2 linked regions of the Coturnix japonica genome follow. The protein of the gene in region 2 purifies or fractionates together with the protein of the main gene of each other region. This does not show direct contact. Links are inferred from orthologs where the notes say so. Each region holds a gene or a part of one and is shown on either strand. Other genes may lie near its edges.

What was found. The genes of interacting proteins can lie anywhere in the genome.
Region 1: the proteins of DUSP8 (region 2) and MAPK8 purify together in Homo sapiens (affinity purification with mass spectrometry; 3 studies listed by BioGRID and IntAct, counting the BioPlex papers as one, with this or other methods). This does not show direct contact. The link is inferred for Coturnix japonica from reciprocal best matches to the Homo sapiens genes DUSP8 and MAPK8.

What each region holds. Positions count from the first base shown.
Region 1 is NC_029521.1:15,676,657-15,680,728, reverse strand, and holds the start of MAPK8 (mitogen-activated protein kinase 8), read right to left. Parts: upstream 2,833-4,072; 5' UTR 2,722-2,832; intron 1-2,721. UniProt on the Homo sapiens protein: Serine/threonine-protein kinase involved in various processes such as cell proliferation, differentiation, migration, transformation and programmed cell death.
Region 2 is NC_029520.1:10,373,710-10,377,353, forward strand, and holds part of DUSP8 (dual specificity protein phosphatase 8), read right to left. Parts: intron 2,979-3,644; coding exon 2,819-2,978; intron 2,615-2,818; coding exon 2,491-2,614; intron 2,129-2,490; coding exon 1,051-2,128; 3' UTR 1-1,050. UniProt on the Homo sapiens protein: Has phosphatase activity with synthetic phosphatase substrates and negatively regulates mitogen-activated protein kinase activity, presumably by catalysing their dephosphorylation.

The sequences.
Region 1 (4,072 bases), on a different chromosome or scaffold from region 2:
TTTTAAACAGCTTTCAAGGACCAAGAGATCTTCCCATAATATAAACAGATTTCTGTTTCTGCAGGTTTTGAATGAAGAACAACTCAGGGTTTATTTGTTTGAAGAAAACATTTACAGAGAGAAAATATTCTGTCTTTATTAAAAATCTATGATGAAAAGCAGTAGAAAAAACAAACAAACAAACAGAATTACAGAATTATCAAGGTTGGAAAAGACCTAGAAGATCATCCAGTCCAACCAACACCAATATTTCCCAGTTAAAACATATCCCTCAACACAACATCCAAACTTTTCTTGAACACAAAAATTACATTAAAATAACACTTTTTAAGAACACTGTAAACACAGCACGTTCTCCCACAGGTAAAGAGGAGGAAGAGAATGAAGTTTAAGGCATGGAATACTAAACTCTTCATCAGACTATCAAAGTGATTTGCATTTATCAAGAACACGGGAGAAAACTGCAGAAAGGAAGAGGTATGTATGCAGGTACTTTCTATGCATCTTTTAAAGAATAGCCATTCAGATAATTTGGCGGTTGAGGAAGAAAGGACAAACCAAAACAACAAAGGGAATATAAAAGGAACAGATAACCCGTTAGTAGCTGAAAGAAACCACAAGGAACAAGTTCTGGTACATTGGTGGAAGAAAATGACTTCAATGGATGAAATACGCAAACACGTGGTCAATTCCCGGTAGTTTGGTAACAGGGAAACAATGTAACAAGTTTACCTGAAGAATTTGGAAGGTTGTTACATCTGCTCTCCCACGCAGCCAGCTAAAGCCTTGCTCCCTAATGAGCTTTCAGTTACTGGAAGTTAAAACACAAAAGCCACACATACAAAAGGGCAGCTGTACTTCTACCTAGAACGAGTAGTCCCCAACCACAAAATTCAGTACCGCAGTAAACGGGTTTTGTCCGAGTCGCTGATCAAGAAGTCTCCATGAAGTATACGGCACTTCATGAGATTATATTGTATCTTGTGAAGTGGAGGCACCCCTGGTCAAAAAAGCTTGGGAGAGCAGAGGACACAGTTAACATTCCCGTTCAAAGTTAAGGCAACGATTTCACACAGATTCAGCTCTGTGTTAATAAATGTCTGTCAATAAACGTTTGATTCTTCCCTCCTGTCACACTTTCAGCCAGTTGGCCCTGAAAACTGCCAGTATCTGACAGACTGGAATGTGCCTGATGCCTGTACAGGCATCACGTGTGTTGCAGCACTCTACCAGAACCAGACATTCCCATCAGAGCTTCTTGGCACTCAAACTCAAGGGAGGAAACTGAGACCACAGAGCAAAAGCTACAGCAAAGAAAGGAAACTGATGTGGGATGATCACTGCTCCTATCTAACCAGCCCATGCTACACATCTTTGAATCAAGTGGGGAATGACAAGATGGCTTCCCCCACATGTTGAGATCATAGAACAAGACTACTCAAAATACAACCCATTTTTCTTTGCTACTGCTGAAGGAAGGGCTTCCCTTCACTATACAGAAGGAATACTCAAATTCATCAGTGAGCTCACTTGGATACTATCCTTAACCAGGTTGGGCCCAGATTCTCTTCATGTAATAACACTCTGAACTAGTTCAAAGTTATCTATCAACATATCTGCAGATATACAGATACAGTGAGGTGCATTATCGCTTCTACATGTGCTTCTGCCCTAGAAGCACCTCTGCTGGCATCTTCAGAAACAAGGCTGTGTCTCAGCAGCTCAGCTGTGTGCCATTACAGCCAAGTCTCCACACCTATACAAAGAAGCCAGCTGTAATGTAAGCTTGCTAAATGCTACAAGCACATGCCCAGGAGGCAAGCAAAACTCACCTTCCACAAACCAGTACAGCACCTTTTGTGTTATCAGATAGGCCAAAACACACAAGGTTTTTGGACTGTCTGAAAGACTTCAGCAAGCCTGCTCTGCATGATACAGAAATTCAAAGCCATGCCACATGTATAGCTGGGGGAACTAAACAATTGAGTGGGACTTGTATCTGTGGGTTATCAGCAGTGCCTGGGCCAGGATTCACTGGTGAAAGCACTGCACTGAACATAAGAAAGCAGGCTACAGGAGCCAAACTGGATGCTGATAATGACATGGAGAAAACAAAGTGCAAAGAAAAATTGCAAAGAGCTCACTGTTTTTACAAGGATTACAAAAACTAAAAGGCAAAAGAATCAAAGGCATTGCCCACCTTCCCCAAGCCCTATAATCGGAGCAGTTATGGGAAGTGCTTTTTGCTTCAGAAGGCGTTTTGAAAGCAAGGTCATGGAAGTTCAGCACAGAGGTGGCTGAGCACGGCTGCGCTCGCACCTCCCCGCACCGAGGGCCGGGCTGCCAGAGCTGCCCACGGCCTGGGCTGCTGCCCCCCGCCCGGGGAAGAGGAGGAGCCCGGCGCCGAGGCTGCTGCCCCTCCTGTCACATCAACAAAGAGGCCCCCGCCATTATCCGCCCAGGCACCTCCAGCAGCCCCCGCACCGCCGGGCCGCAGCGGAGCCCGGCGCGCAGGGAAGGTCACGAACGCAGACAACCCCGCAGGAAGAAAAGGGCCACGCCACGCTCGCTGCCGGCCCGCTGCCCCGCGCTGGAACGTAAACAAAGCGGCCAGGCCCGGCCCCCGCAGCGCTGCCGCTCCCTGCACACCCGCCCGGCTCCAGCCCCGCTTCCCAGCCGCCGCCACCGCCATCCCTCCTCAACCCCAGGCACCGCACATACCACCTCCCGTCGCCTCCTTCCTCGGCCGCTGAATAATGAACCGGGGCCGGGCCGCGCACACGCACCGCGCTTCGTCCGCCCGGCGCGGCTGCGGCTGCCCGCCCCCTCCGCTCGCTCCGCCCGCACGCCCGGCCCGGCCCCCGCCGCCCCTGAGCCGCCCCTCCGGGCACGGGCCCTGCGGGAGGCTGCAGGCTGCCAGCGCTGCCGCTGAGCCCGGTCTGGTGTCTGCTGGGCTGTGCCTGCTCCTTCCCAGCATTATGCCCTGTACCCGGGCCTGCTGTAACAAAACTGCGTTTTTCAGGTGTTTGCCTTCATGCTCTCCTCCGTTTCCTAGTGTTCCCAGACATCCTGCAAGGCCTTGGCAGTCCTAGCCTTCCCCCTGAACATCTGGAATGGCAGTGCTTTATCTCATTGCTGGGTATCTGGAGTGGTGTAACATCTTCTGTATCTGGTTTGGCACCGTTTGTTCTCTAAGCTTTAGGCAGCTATTTGTGAGATTTTGAGTTATTACCACCACCTTTAGCTCTTGGCACCTCCCATGGGTGCTCTGCTTTGTTTTTACAATGTTCTGTTTGTTATTCTTCCTTTCCTTTCCCTTCCCTCCTCTGTTTTTCTCCTTTCAACCAGCAATACCCCTGTCTACAGACTCCATACCTTGAAGTCATGTCAATATGGCTGAAACAAGCCTTTGTATACTTACACTGCGTAGTACTAAAAATAAAACCTCCGGAAGAGTCTTTAAAAATACATAAAATCTACCAGTTAGGCACAGGGCACAGTGAATTGGACGCTTCACATCTTACTGTCAAACATTGGAATGGCTTGTGCCACATTTTTGAAGATGCAAAATAATGCAGTGAGATTGTCTTTCCACATCTCTGAAACAAAAAATAGATTTTTAACTAGTAAGGATACTGCTTCAGATGTTCCAGTCTTACCCACTGTCATAATGTCAAAAGCTGTATACTACTCACATTCCCATTTTATGGAAATATCTGCACTGTCTGACCTTAAAATTCTCAATACAAACAATCCTATTTCAACCCCTTAAGTTAGAAGTTGTTCCTTTGCAGTTCCCTATAGACCTATACATAACAATTTATAGGAAAACAAAATAAAACAAAACTGTTGTTCAGACTGCTCCCAGGTGTCCCTGGATCCCACTACACTGTAAGCATGTTACCAAGGTAGCCACTCCTGCCTCACCACCTGTCATTCCATGAGACAGACCCAGAAGTGACATAGCCAGCTTTCAGGTTTGAGACTTCCTGTTGAATTATGTTAGATCATGATCAGACATTGCATTCCCTGCCGTGTTTATGTGTGAAAGAGGCAAAGCTCAGCTTGGCAG
Region 2 (3,644 bases):
ATGGCCAGGATGGGAATGATGGCTATGATGGGGTAGGGGAAGAAAACAGGGACCAAGGGAGCGGAGATGCGGCAGCAGCTTCCAGAAAGGGAGTTTTCTGGCTCAGTTTGTGTTTTAAGATTTTACGACTTCCTTGTTCACTTGTTTGTTTCTAGAAAAAGTGCTCCAAAGAGTTTTCTGTCCCCTTTTTGCTGCACTCAGAGGGAATGGGGGAAAATCTTTGTCGTCGACATGATCTATAGAAGGAGCCACAGGCCTCAGATATTGCTTAGAAACTCGTATTTCAGATTTAAATACCATACACAGTAAAAATAGAGCTGAAAGTACCGCCCCACATTGTCTGCAAATCATTGCCAGAATGAAACAGCTTCAATAAATTAAAAACAAAACAAAAAATTGAAATATTATTTACGTCTCAATAAAAATCGCAGTAAAACCATTTGCCTTTTTTCCTTTGTGTGTGTGTGTGTTTTCTTTATATTATATATAATATATATTTATATATGTATAGGGCTGCTCTAGTGCAGCATCTTTAGGATACTCAAGCCAGAGAAACATGGGGGCACATGCTTAGTGCACTGGGGTGTGGGGAGGGATAGGTGGGTTGCCTCTTCCTGACCTTGACAGAGTGATGCTGTGCTCTGTCCTCACGGGGCCACGTCCCTCCCCAGGCAGGAATAGGCTCTGCTCACCCTCCCAACCCCAAATGGTAATTCCTGCCCCTTCCCTTTCAAATTTTACACCCCGGATTCGAGTACAGGGCTCTGAGGACTGCTCTCCCATCACTGCTCCATGTGCAAAAGCCCAGGGTGATGTCACCAAGAGCTGGAGACTGCTAGAGTGGGAGAACCAGAGTGGGCATGAGGAGGGACACTAAGCATTCACCGTGATGTTTCCTGACTCTGGATTCGTTCCTCTTTGCTTTCATTTTGATGTGCGTGCTCCCAAAAATGCGCACGCGGGTATAAATACTCCCCACCCACCCTCCCTGCATCTCTCCCCATCTTAAATATCCCCCCACCCCTTTGCTCCAATGACCCACGATGGGTGTCAGGACACCTCGATGATCTCCATGCTGCCAGAAAAGCTTGACTGTTTGCCTATTTTGCCCAGCTCCTCCCGGGACCTGCCCTCAGACATGGTCTCCTCGAACTCCATCTGGCAGCTCCTCCTCTTGAACTGCTTCTCTGCGCCGGCTTCCTCATGCCAGCTGTGCCTCCCATCCCGGGCCTCAGCCCGCTGCTTGTCCCTCAGTCTGATCTCGCAGCCTCCTGGCATCCCATTGCAACTAAATGGGGGGTATGGACTGGTGCCACTGAACAGCGTCCCACCGCCGGTGCCACTGCCACCACTACTGGCTGAGTCTGTGCTGAAGTACCATCCTCCCTCAGAGGATGGGGTGCTGGGGGACTCGAGGTGGACGTTCCCCCAGGAGCCATTGGAGGCCTGTGGTGGGCCAGGCAGGCTGAGCCTTGGCTGGAGGCTGTCCTCTGCCCCAGGGCTCTTGCGGGCAGAGCTGATATTGAGGCTGAGGCCATGGGCTGGTGAGCCAGCTTGGTGCCTGTGCTTGCGTCGCTGTCTCACCTTGGCCTCCAGCAGGAGGTCTGGCCCACTGGGCCGGTCAGGGCTATCGGGCACTGGGGAGAACTGGCCACTGGGAGCTGATGGGCTGTCCAACTTGCAGAGCTTGGGGGCCTCCCCAGTGCTGGGTAGGCCTGGGGGGTCCTGCCGCAGGCCGGGGGAGTAGGCGGACTTGATGTCCAGGGAGAAGGAGCGTTTCAAGCGGTTGGTGTCCTGGATGCGCTCCGAGGAAAGGTGCAAGCCATTGAGTCCCTGCTGCAGTGCCGTGGGTGACAAGACTTTGGGTGGCCCACCTTGCCTTTCAGGGTCACTGGGTGGGGGTGCAGAGGTTGTGCTTCTTGGTACGTCCTCAACCTTCTCTGAGGTAGACGGTGTGGGATGCCTGCCAGCCTCGGATGCCTCGGTTGTGTCCTGAGGAGCTTCTCCCTCACCCCGGTCGCCCTGGGCCTTCAGGGCCTTTAGGAGCTTTAGGCTCCTCTCATACTCCAGGAGCTGGCCCAGGAAGTTGAAGTTGGGTGAGATCGATGGGCGACGGTCCTTAACAAACCTGCCAAGAGGTACAGACAACCCTGATTGGTGTTCAGTCCTTCAGTAAGTCACCCTCTAATCTCTTTGTCTCTTTAGGAGAAGAGACATTATCCAAAACCCTCTGAAGAAAGTGGTTGGGGGCTCCCCGACTGAAGCTGGGGATGCTCAGATTCTGGGGGTTTTGCCACACACCATTTTACTGCTCCCACCATTGCATGCACTACGTGAAGGACTGGTTTGGTTTGGTTTTGTTTCACCACCACTCAGCCAAGGCAAGACTTCAAGGAGCAACCACTCCCTTCTTCTGGGCTCAGACTGCTTTCCTTCTGTGGGTTCAGGCACACCAGTACAACCCCTCCCTGTCCTCTGGTGAATGCTCACCTGTAAGCATCGTCAGATGACATGCCCATGGTCTTCATGATGTATGCAATAGCGATTGTGGCAGAGCGGGATATCCCTGCCAAGCAGTGCACAATCACTTGGCAGCTGGACACCTTAGCTTTGTCTGGAGCATGGTAGAGAAAACAGAGAGAAAACACTGATGTGATCACAGACATTGTGCAAAATGATTCTAGACTCTTCCCCCAGCCCTCAGCTCCTGTGTGTGAAAGAAGAAGAGCTGCTGGGAATAGGCCTGAGGAAGACAGAAAAAGAGTCCAGATTTTGAGGGCTAACTGATGGACCTGTAATTATTGTAATGAAAGCTCACCAATAAATTCAATGGATTTATCCAACCAGGGAAGTAGCTTCTCACAGTAGTTGTCATTGACAGGAATGCGCATGAAGTGACTATCACAGATGAAGTCTGGCTTGGGACAGGAGTTGCTGGCGTTGAGGACATAGCTTATCCCATTCTGTGTCATCAAATCCTGTTGGTAGAGAAGGAATGGAAGGATCGGCTGAGTTATGTGCCTCTCCACACAATCCTTGCTGTTAGCCATCCCAATATTTGCTCCTATAGGTCTTCTGCTGGCTCCTTGGCCCAAATGGTCAACCAGCTGATGCTACCTAACTGATGCTCATCACAGACTGGCTGGGAGAGATGTGCCCATTTACATAGTACAGGCTTGTAATTCAGCAGATCTTTACTTTGGTACCTCAGCATGACCAAAGAATCCTGGAAAGGTATTCCATATGGGAAAGTAAGAAAGAAAACCTATGAAAAGTCTCACAGAAAGTTTAGAAAGTATCCACTGAGAGAGGACTGATATCTCACCAACCAAGTTGGTTATCAGTAGTACTCCATGCTAACCAATGTCAACTCAGTTTTTTACTTCCAACCAACACTGAAAAGCACTGGGAGTTCTTACAGTCTTATTAGTTGTTCACAGTTCTTCACTAAACTGTGCTGCATTTTAGCCTACAAGAGGCTCATGTGAACCACTCATTTCAGGCTTTTGTGACTTAAAACATCCTCTTGAGAGGAACCATCCTTTCCTTCTTTTTGACTCTGGAGTGAACCTGGACATTACTTGGTGACTTTTTGATTCAGTCACTCAGCAGACACCATCACTGCCCATATTCTGAGTCAATAA